Arabidopsis thaliana: one gene and its partner. The protein of the gene in region 1 interacts with the protein of each later gene in a pairwise test. Each region holds a gene or a part of one and is shown on either strand. Other genes may lie near its edges. The genes, in order: AT1G18780 and MYB2.

The links.
Region 2: the proteins of AT1G18780 (region 1) and MYB2 interact in a two-hybrid assay, tested with the Arabidopsis thaliana proteins (one large-scale study listed by BioGRID).

Annotation. Positions count from the first base shown.
Region 1 is NC_003070.9:6,475,581-6,479,367, forward strand, and holds AT1G18780 (RING/U-box superfamily protein), read right to left. Parts: upstream 1,656-3,787; coding exon 678-1,655; downstream 1-677. Other genes in the region: AT1G18773 (acyl thioesterase-like protein), read left to right, coding at 33-74; RKD1 (RWP-RK domain-containing protein), read right to left, coding at 3,271-3,531, 3,748-3,787.
Region 2 is NC_003071.7:19,373,780-19,378,088, reverse strand, and holds MYB2 (myb domain protein 2), read right to left. Parts: upstream 2,105-4,309; 5' UTR 1,806-2,104; coding exon 1,649-1,805; intron 1,558-1,648; coding exon 1,428-1,557; intron 1,327-1,427; coding exon 792-1,326; 3' UTR 546-791; downstream 1-545. Other genes in the region: AT2G47200 (uncharacterized protein), read left to right, coding at 1-205.

The DNA of each region.
Region 1 (3,787 bases):
CATTTTAACAAGTGCCTTTTTGTTATATGAAGGACTTGTTGAGATTAAGAGAAGAGTATGTAGAAGAAGGCTGAAGAAGGTGATGAACATGATTCTCCAATAGAAAGTGTGGAGGAGAGCCAGCTGGAGTGGGCGTCGAATCAGTGTTCCCCTTGTAAGTAACTTCAAGCTTGTGCAACGACTTTAATAGCCTATCTCTGTGCAATGTTGTTCATTGGTTGTAATGTCTCTAGTACTCTCTTGATTGATTGTACATTTTCAATGTTTTGTACTGAGTAAAAGCAAACATATATGCATTGTTTTACAAAATTTAAATTTGTTTAAGAACCCCACCATTGGAGAAGACAAAACTTCATGACATCAATTCAAGTTCTCAAGTTTGATAAAAGCAAAATTTAAACTTAAAAAATGGTTAGAGCCCTCACGTGGTTCTCACCATTTGAGATGTATCCAATCGAGAGCAAAATGTTTACAGATTAACAAAAATCTGTAAAATCGTGAAATCATTTAATAAAAATTTAGTATCAACCTGATTATAATTCTTGAATGAGAGTCCAATACTATAAACTGAATCAAGAGCAAGAACAATAGAAAAGAGTTTGCAGAAAACTAAACTATGATTTTGGAAATCGTAAAGCTTTAAACAAAATTTGGTGACCTTTTCGTCTTCTTCACCCTTATCTTTCACATGGCAACTCGAGACGACACAATGGACATACATGACTTCTCACAAACCACTCTAAAACACACTCCTCGTCAAACTCGTGCCCACACGGTAAAGTCACAATACTTCTTCCATCGTCAAACTCTTCCAAACAAATAGTGCACACGTCATTCTCACATACAACACCACTAGCTTTCTTGTATGTTTTCCTATTCAAAGCCCCGACAGTGAGCTTGCTCGCAGGTTTTAACCTGACAGTGTTGGTCTCATTGAACGAAACTTGAAAAACTTCTTCAATCTGAGAATGAGACGCTTCTTCAATTTGATGATCGAAGCCAAAGCTAGCATGGTGCTCATCCCTTAAGTGTGGCAACCCGTGGAATAGAACAACTTCTCCAAGCTGAGATGAAGATGCTTCTTCGTAAGGAAAGTAATCATTGTAGTCATCCCTGAAGTATGGCAACCCGTAGAATGGAACAACTTCTTCAAACTGAGATGAAGATGCTTCTCCGTAAACGTCTTGCTCATCCTCTAAACCTAGAACGTCTTCTTCAATATGTTCAGGAGGAATAGCGATTGTAAGAGTCATCAACACTCTTAAAGCACAACCTGGAGTATAATCATCAGAGGAAGTTATTTCATCGACGAATCGAAACAACTCTAGTAACACATGGTAAGCATCGATGGGAGTGATTTTTCCTGATCCCGTCAAGAATTCAGTAAGCTCTACAGCAACACAGTCGCGTAAAGAAACCGGGATACAAGAGAATTCTGATGTTAGTTCATCATAGAGATCATAATTACTGATGATACTTTGATATATTTTGGTCGTAGCAACACTGATATTGATTATGCCAACATCTTCAGGTACAGGATTGTGCTCAATTTCATGTGCGAAGGATGAAATCATGATGGCGAGAACGATCAAGAATAAATAAATTTTATCGATTATGTTTAGCCGTTTAGGGTTCTCTTGAAGTAATTCATTCATGTATTTATAACAGAGGCCTAGATCGATGGTATATATATATATATATATATATATATATATATCTTTAGTAGAAAATCTAATACTATTGGGATTTGATATCAGTTTACATTTGTAATTGTTTTTTTCCTAATTTACAAACGGTGTATGTTTTTTTCCTAAGCTTTTACTTTCCTTTTTTTTTCTTTGGGTATAATTTAGCAAACAATTAATTAATTAATTGTTTTTGTTAATCTGATTATTGACGTTTAAACTCAATTTCCTTTTAAGCTTGAAAAACTTTATAAATTAAGACAAAAAAATATATAGTTGATTAAAAAAATTAGTACTTAAAAGTTGGTCACACTTTCTTACATCATCATCATCAAAGTAATTGGGTTCCAGATTTAAAGTTTAGTCAAACTTCTTACAACCAGGTTTGTAATTCATATCTCCATTGAAACTATTTAGCTATATAATCCACCAAACTGAATAAGTCTCTGTATATTTGGTGACTGCAGCAACCGAACTAACTCAGGACAGAGGCACAGAGCTATTGCGCTATAATGTACATAGTACTCATGCATGGGAGTTTTAGCCTTTTATGCATTTTTTTTTTTGTAAGAAATGTTGTCTAGGAATCATATATTTTATAAGAATGATATAGTATATAATTAGTCAATATATTTTATTTTATAGATATCGGCTAATTAACTGTAATTTTTTTTCTTCCTCTTCTTAATTTTATCTTTTCAAAACTCTTTTGATTTATATCAGTTTTATTATGTTACCCAACATTATCCAAATTAGGTCCCAAAAATAAAGAAAAAAAAAAATCGAATGCAAAATAAAAAATAAGTAATCATAATTCCTAAATCAAATTTACATTCATAGTCGTTCTAATTTTCTCAAACTTGCGGTATTTCACAAAATATAAAAAAATTAAAATATTTATTTTAGCAACTCGAATAATAAATTGTTGGATAAGCTTGAATTAGCTGGAATCATAAGCTATTCAAAGTAGGATTATGATTTATATATTTAGCAGTTATCTAAATATAATTGTATTCCTAATAGATGTCGAGTTTAGACATAACCTTAAGAGAGTTTATGGGATTGAGAGAACTTGAGAGTTTTAGTTTTGAGATCTCTAAAGCATAAATAAAGAGAGTGATTCTTTATTGTTTTTGTTGTTGTTAAGCAATCTTCTTATATTCTAGAATTGGAAGCAAAATTCTTGTTGTTCTTGTTGTACTAAATTACTGCCATTGACACCAAAATTTTGATACAAATTTACTATACGAATTACGAAGCTACGTGAACATAGATATTAACCAACATAAGTTATGCATTCGGGTCAAAATATGAAGAAGGTGTTTTTAAAGAAGTAGATTGAAAAGCTAGCTAACAAGTTATTGAGACAAACAAAAAAGAGAGAGAGATCGTTTACTATATTAGTAGTAATTTTAATATTAATGAGTCAAAAACGTTTTGTAATTTAGAGTCGAATACAATAAACCATACACAACACATTCACAAACAAATAGAAGAACCCACACTAGAGAAACTTCATAAGAGATCCTTCACCTCTTTATCATCATCTTCTCATACCTCTTCATCAAAGACCATCGAGCACCTATTATCTCTCAAAACCCGAAACAGAAGAGTAAGAAGAAGAAGAAGCAGAAGCAGAAGAAGATGATGATGTGATGGGCGTGGACATGCCACTTCTTCTCTTCCTCTTATGGTTAGCCTTGAAACAAGCTTGTCTCAATCTCTTTGTCTTATCCTCAAACTTCAAATCTGGTAACTTCTCAATCGTTTTCTTCTCCTTCTCGAGCTTTTCCAAAGCGTTTCTTAGCTTATCTTCATTTTCTTCCCCTTCCATCTTCTCTAGCTCCTGTTACAATTATAAAAATAGTCACATCAAATTCACTAAATCGGTAGACCATAGCATTAAGGCTTTATATAGCGTTTTCATTTCCAAAACAACAAAAATCAAATTTTCAAGAAAATTTGGCGAACTAAAAAATGCAAAAAATAATTCCTAATGATACACAATAGAGGAATTTAACTTGTTATAACTTAGTTGTCTTATGTTTATAGTTGTTTATACCTTGACATTGCTGATGAGTTTTTGTAGGCTCATGAGCTTA
Region 2 (4,309 bases), on another chromosome or scaffold:
GCCGGAGACATCGGATTCTTCTTCGTCTGCTGCGAAACTTTACAGAAATATCGTCGGAGACGAAAACGTGACAAGGAAGAGAATTTCAGTGGTTGATACATCGCATCTTGGCGATAATCACGAGTTTATTATCGAAACTACGTGTGGAAGCAACGATATGGATGAAGGGTTTTACTGGATCATCGTCAGGAATCACTTGATGTGAATTTTATAAAGCGTTTAAGTATAATTAAGTAATGTAAGTCCTTGGTCCTTGCATGATTTGTTTTTCTTAGGATCAACCATGCAGCATTCTGGACTACTAAATTTCTATCAAGATAAATCATGTGTTGTGACAATTTGAACCAATAATCAGTGGTTAACTGTCAAAAAAATAAATTTAGTCATATTTTCGTTTTGTCGTTTTTTAATTTTTGTTAGTGAATTTTGTCGTAAATAAAACGAACCAAAGAAAATATGAACTGATTCGAGTCAGTCTACGCTCTTTTCGAGTATCAAAATTAAGAACTTTTCCTTGGAATGATTTTTTTTTTTTGTTGGTTTTTAAAACGTTATATCAAATAATTCACATATATCAATATCACAAATCAGTGAATCACAAATATCCTCGTCTGATGATCAAATCTTAATTTAATCAGGGGATTAAAACAAGAGAGGAAAAGAAAAGATAATAATTAAGTCAAGATTCGTATACCAAGGCCGTATCTAAAATTGGCATCACGCACGAATGAATATTACACCAAACGTGACGCAATTGAATTCCTCGTTACGTATAGTAATCGTATATTTCCTTAATTATACGAATACGATGTCGTATCGGGGCAGAACTGGTCCTGCAAGAACCAAAAACTCTCCTCGTCAGTCCACATGTTGTCCCCACCAACACAGCCCCAATCGTTGAACTCTCCGAAACCCGTTTGACCCGACGGATCATAACCTGACCCGTTCACCACCCCACCTCGAACGTCCGAAAACGTCTCAGCCGGAGAATTCGAAGACGTTGCTGACAATTCCGTAGCCGGTACGAATTGCTGATGATGATTCTGGCTGAATTGAACGAAACCCGGCTCGACCGGACTCGGTTCGTTAACTGGTTGACTTGGGTCGGTGATCATTGACTCCACTTGTTCACACGTGGTGGGTAATGATTGGGCGTTGATTCGTTCCACTAATCTCGGCATCCAAACATTTCTCATAGTCTCCTTGAAAAGATTACTGTTAACATCGCATCTTAGGTGTTTGGCTTGCTTTTGGACTCGAGTTCTCCAATAATTCTTTATTTCATTATCTGTTCTTCCCGGTAGATATTGCGCAATCTTCGACCACCTTATATATTCAATTGAAAAAAAAGACATATATTAATAACATACTTAACTAGTAACATATAGAATAGCAAAATATTAACATTTGAGATATATAGTGTGTACCTATTGCCCCAAAGAGAATGGAGTTTGAGGATCATAAATTGTTCTTCGAGAGTGATGTTGCCTCTTCTAACATCTGGACGTAAGTAATTAAGCCATCTTAATCTACAACTCTTACCAGTTCGCTTTAGCCCTGCACATATATGAGTAAAATATATATAAGTTTATCTATATATAAAGCCTTTGTGTATATGTATATTTAGAGATTGATGTTTTGATGATACCAGAGGAACGAGCGATGTGGTTCCAACGAGCATCGCCATGGATAGAGACGAAGTTGACTAGGATTGCATCTTCTTCCTCGGTCCATGGACCTTTCCGTACATCAGAATCTTCTTCATGTGTTGGAGAGTTTGAGTTTATTCGCTCGTAATCTTCCATTTCTTATAAAGAAACTTTAAATGAGGAAAGGAAAAGAGATAGAGAGAAAGAAGATGAGATGGTGTGAATGGTTTTGTGGATTAGATTTGAAGTGATTAAGCAATGTGCGATATTTATATATATATAGTGAAGGAACATAAGAATCAAATAATTTTAAAAGTAGTATTTTATAAAAAGGATATTTGAAAATGAGTAGAATGTTGAAGAGTGACTGGAACACGGCATAAGTGTTATGTTCAATTTTTATTTTTTTATTCTGTTTCTAAAGTGGAATTTTGCAACTATATAGTAAATTATGCTAAACATAATTAGCTCTCCATTTGGTCAATTGTTTGTGTAATTTTAAAATACTAAGGTTTGACCCTTTGACTTGTTCAGATGTATAGTAACACGCACTCTTGCTTTTTCTTTCTTTGGTAAGAGAGTTCTATTTCATAAAGTTTCTATATTTATTACCACACAGTATCGCAGACGTAAGTTATTGTACATCCTTAGTCTTGTTCAAAATTACTCTGGTTAGTGATTACTATGGGCGAAATTAATGATTTATTAATCACTTCTTGTTGTGTGCAATCACGATTTAATATTCGTCGTTTGCTTTGAAATTAGCTAACATTAAGAAACTACTACATGCTACTCGGTAAGCATAATAATACTTAAATACTATTACTAAATGGAAATTAGTTTCCAATACGGATTCGTTTCTAAGTATATGGAGTCTAAAATAATTCTTAATTCCCAATTTTGAATGTAGCTAAATAACATAGGACTATTGACATTTAAGGCAAAGTCAAATGAGAAATGGAGTTAGGCGAGTTTAGGGACTTTGCTTTTGAAATTTTAGCACATTTTGTTTTCGATTGAAGAGTAGTCAAAGAGACGTCTTTCCTCTGTCAATCACTATGACTTCTATGCATATATTTACAGAAATATACTAAACTTTTGTGAGTTTTATCAAACAAAATTTTATCGTACGTTGGGATTAATAATTAAGAAACACTATCAAAGTTATTAAAAACAATAATATACTTTCAATAGTTGCCGGTAGAGAAAGTACTTTTGTTTTTAATGAGAATCCACGATGAAGTAAAGAGAGACCGTAGTATACTTTCAATAATCGTTCCATTACTACTTCGATTATTGATACACATTCTGAAAGTCGAATGCCTATAATATTGATGATAACTTTTATAATATATGTTGTACATTTTGTTAATGCATCATTACTTTTAAGTAACGTTCTACGACATTTTATCAAAATGTGTAACAAGAAAATATTTTAATTGATTCGTATTACAAAACATATAAATTATAATTCGATCAGGGAAATCAAATTTAATTATTACATTATATTGTTTAATTCATCAATGATCATATATTCATATGTAACTAAAGTAAGAATATATAAGCACTATAAACATATATTGGGTTAAAAATTTAACATACTAACAAAAACAGATTAGCAAATACAATCAGATGCCTACATGTCATAGCGATCCACTCCGTCGAAAAAGGGAGGTCGAAAACATATATAAAACTATTAAAGTAAAGGAGTTTAAGTAATGCAAGTAAACACAGGATTTTTGTTACACAACGACACTTAAATAGTAGCCTCCATAGTTCTAGGGGAAAGCAACACTCCCGATTAACTGTATGTACCTGAGAACCGAATCAGATCTCGATGTCTTTATGAGACACTTGTCTGCTTCTTATAACTTTCAACTGTGGACAAATAGACACCCAAGTGATGACGTGTCATTTGATTCGAATATAGGTTAGATTTCGCGTTGTACCAGTATCTTATACTTTTAGTGAAGAAAACAAATGTTATTTGTAACACCCGATTCAGTGAATTGTTACATCGATTAGATATGTGATATAGACGACAACCCAAATAAGCTAGTTTTTTTTTTTTTTTTTTTTTTTTTTAACTGAAAGATTTTCATTATATAATACATGGGTGAAATACAGTTTTGGAATGCGTTTTCGTACAACATAGCCGGCAGAAAATAAAGAAATCCCCGAAAACAAAAGCCCGATACATGGGACCACAAGAAAATATACTAAAATCAAGAAGATAAGCTCATGAGATCAACATGAAAGTCGGAGGAGAGCAAAACTCGCGGAAATAAGAGCTCGAAGATCGCGGACTAGAGAATCTTTAACCACAAACAGAGTAGAGCAAAGGATAGATGAACCCGCGAAGACAAATCCCAACTAAAAACGATTATCCCGAACACAGTAAACAACGACGCGAATCTAAATTCTAACCACCTAGTCATCTAACGAACAAGTCTAAATCTAGAACTTTGCATCCCCACTAGAGGTTAGCCTTATAAGAACAGAAAAGTAACAAACCACGAGAGAAAATACCATTTTCTATTGACATGAAATAAGACCGGTCTTTTGTGTCAATTATATTGATTTATGAGTTGAAGGAATATTTCACTGTTTTTTTCTACTGCTAAATTGCATATTACTCAAGAACAATCTTAAAGCCTGTT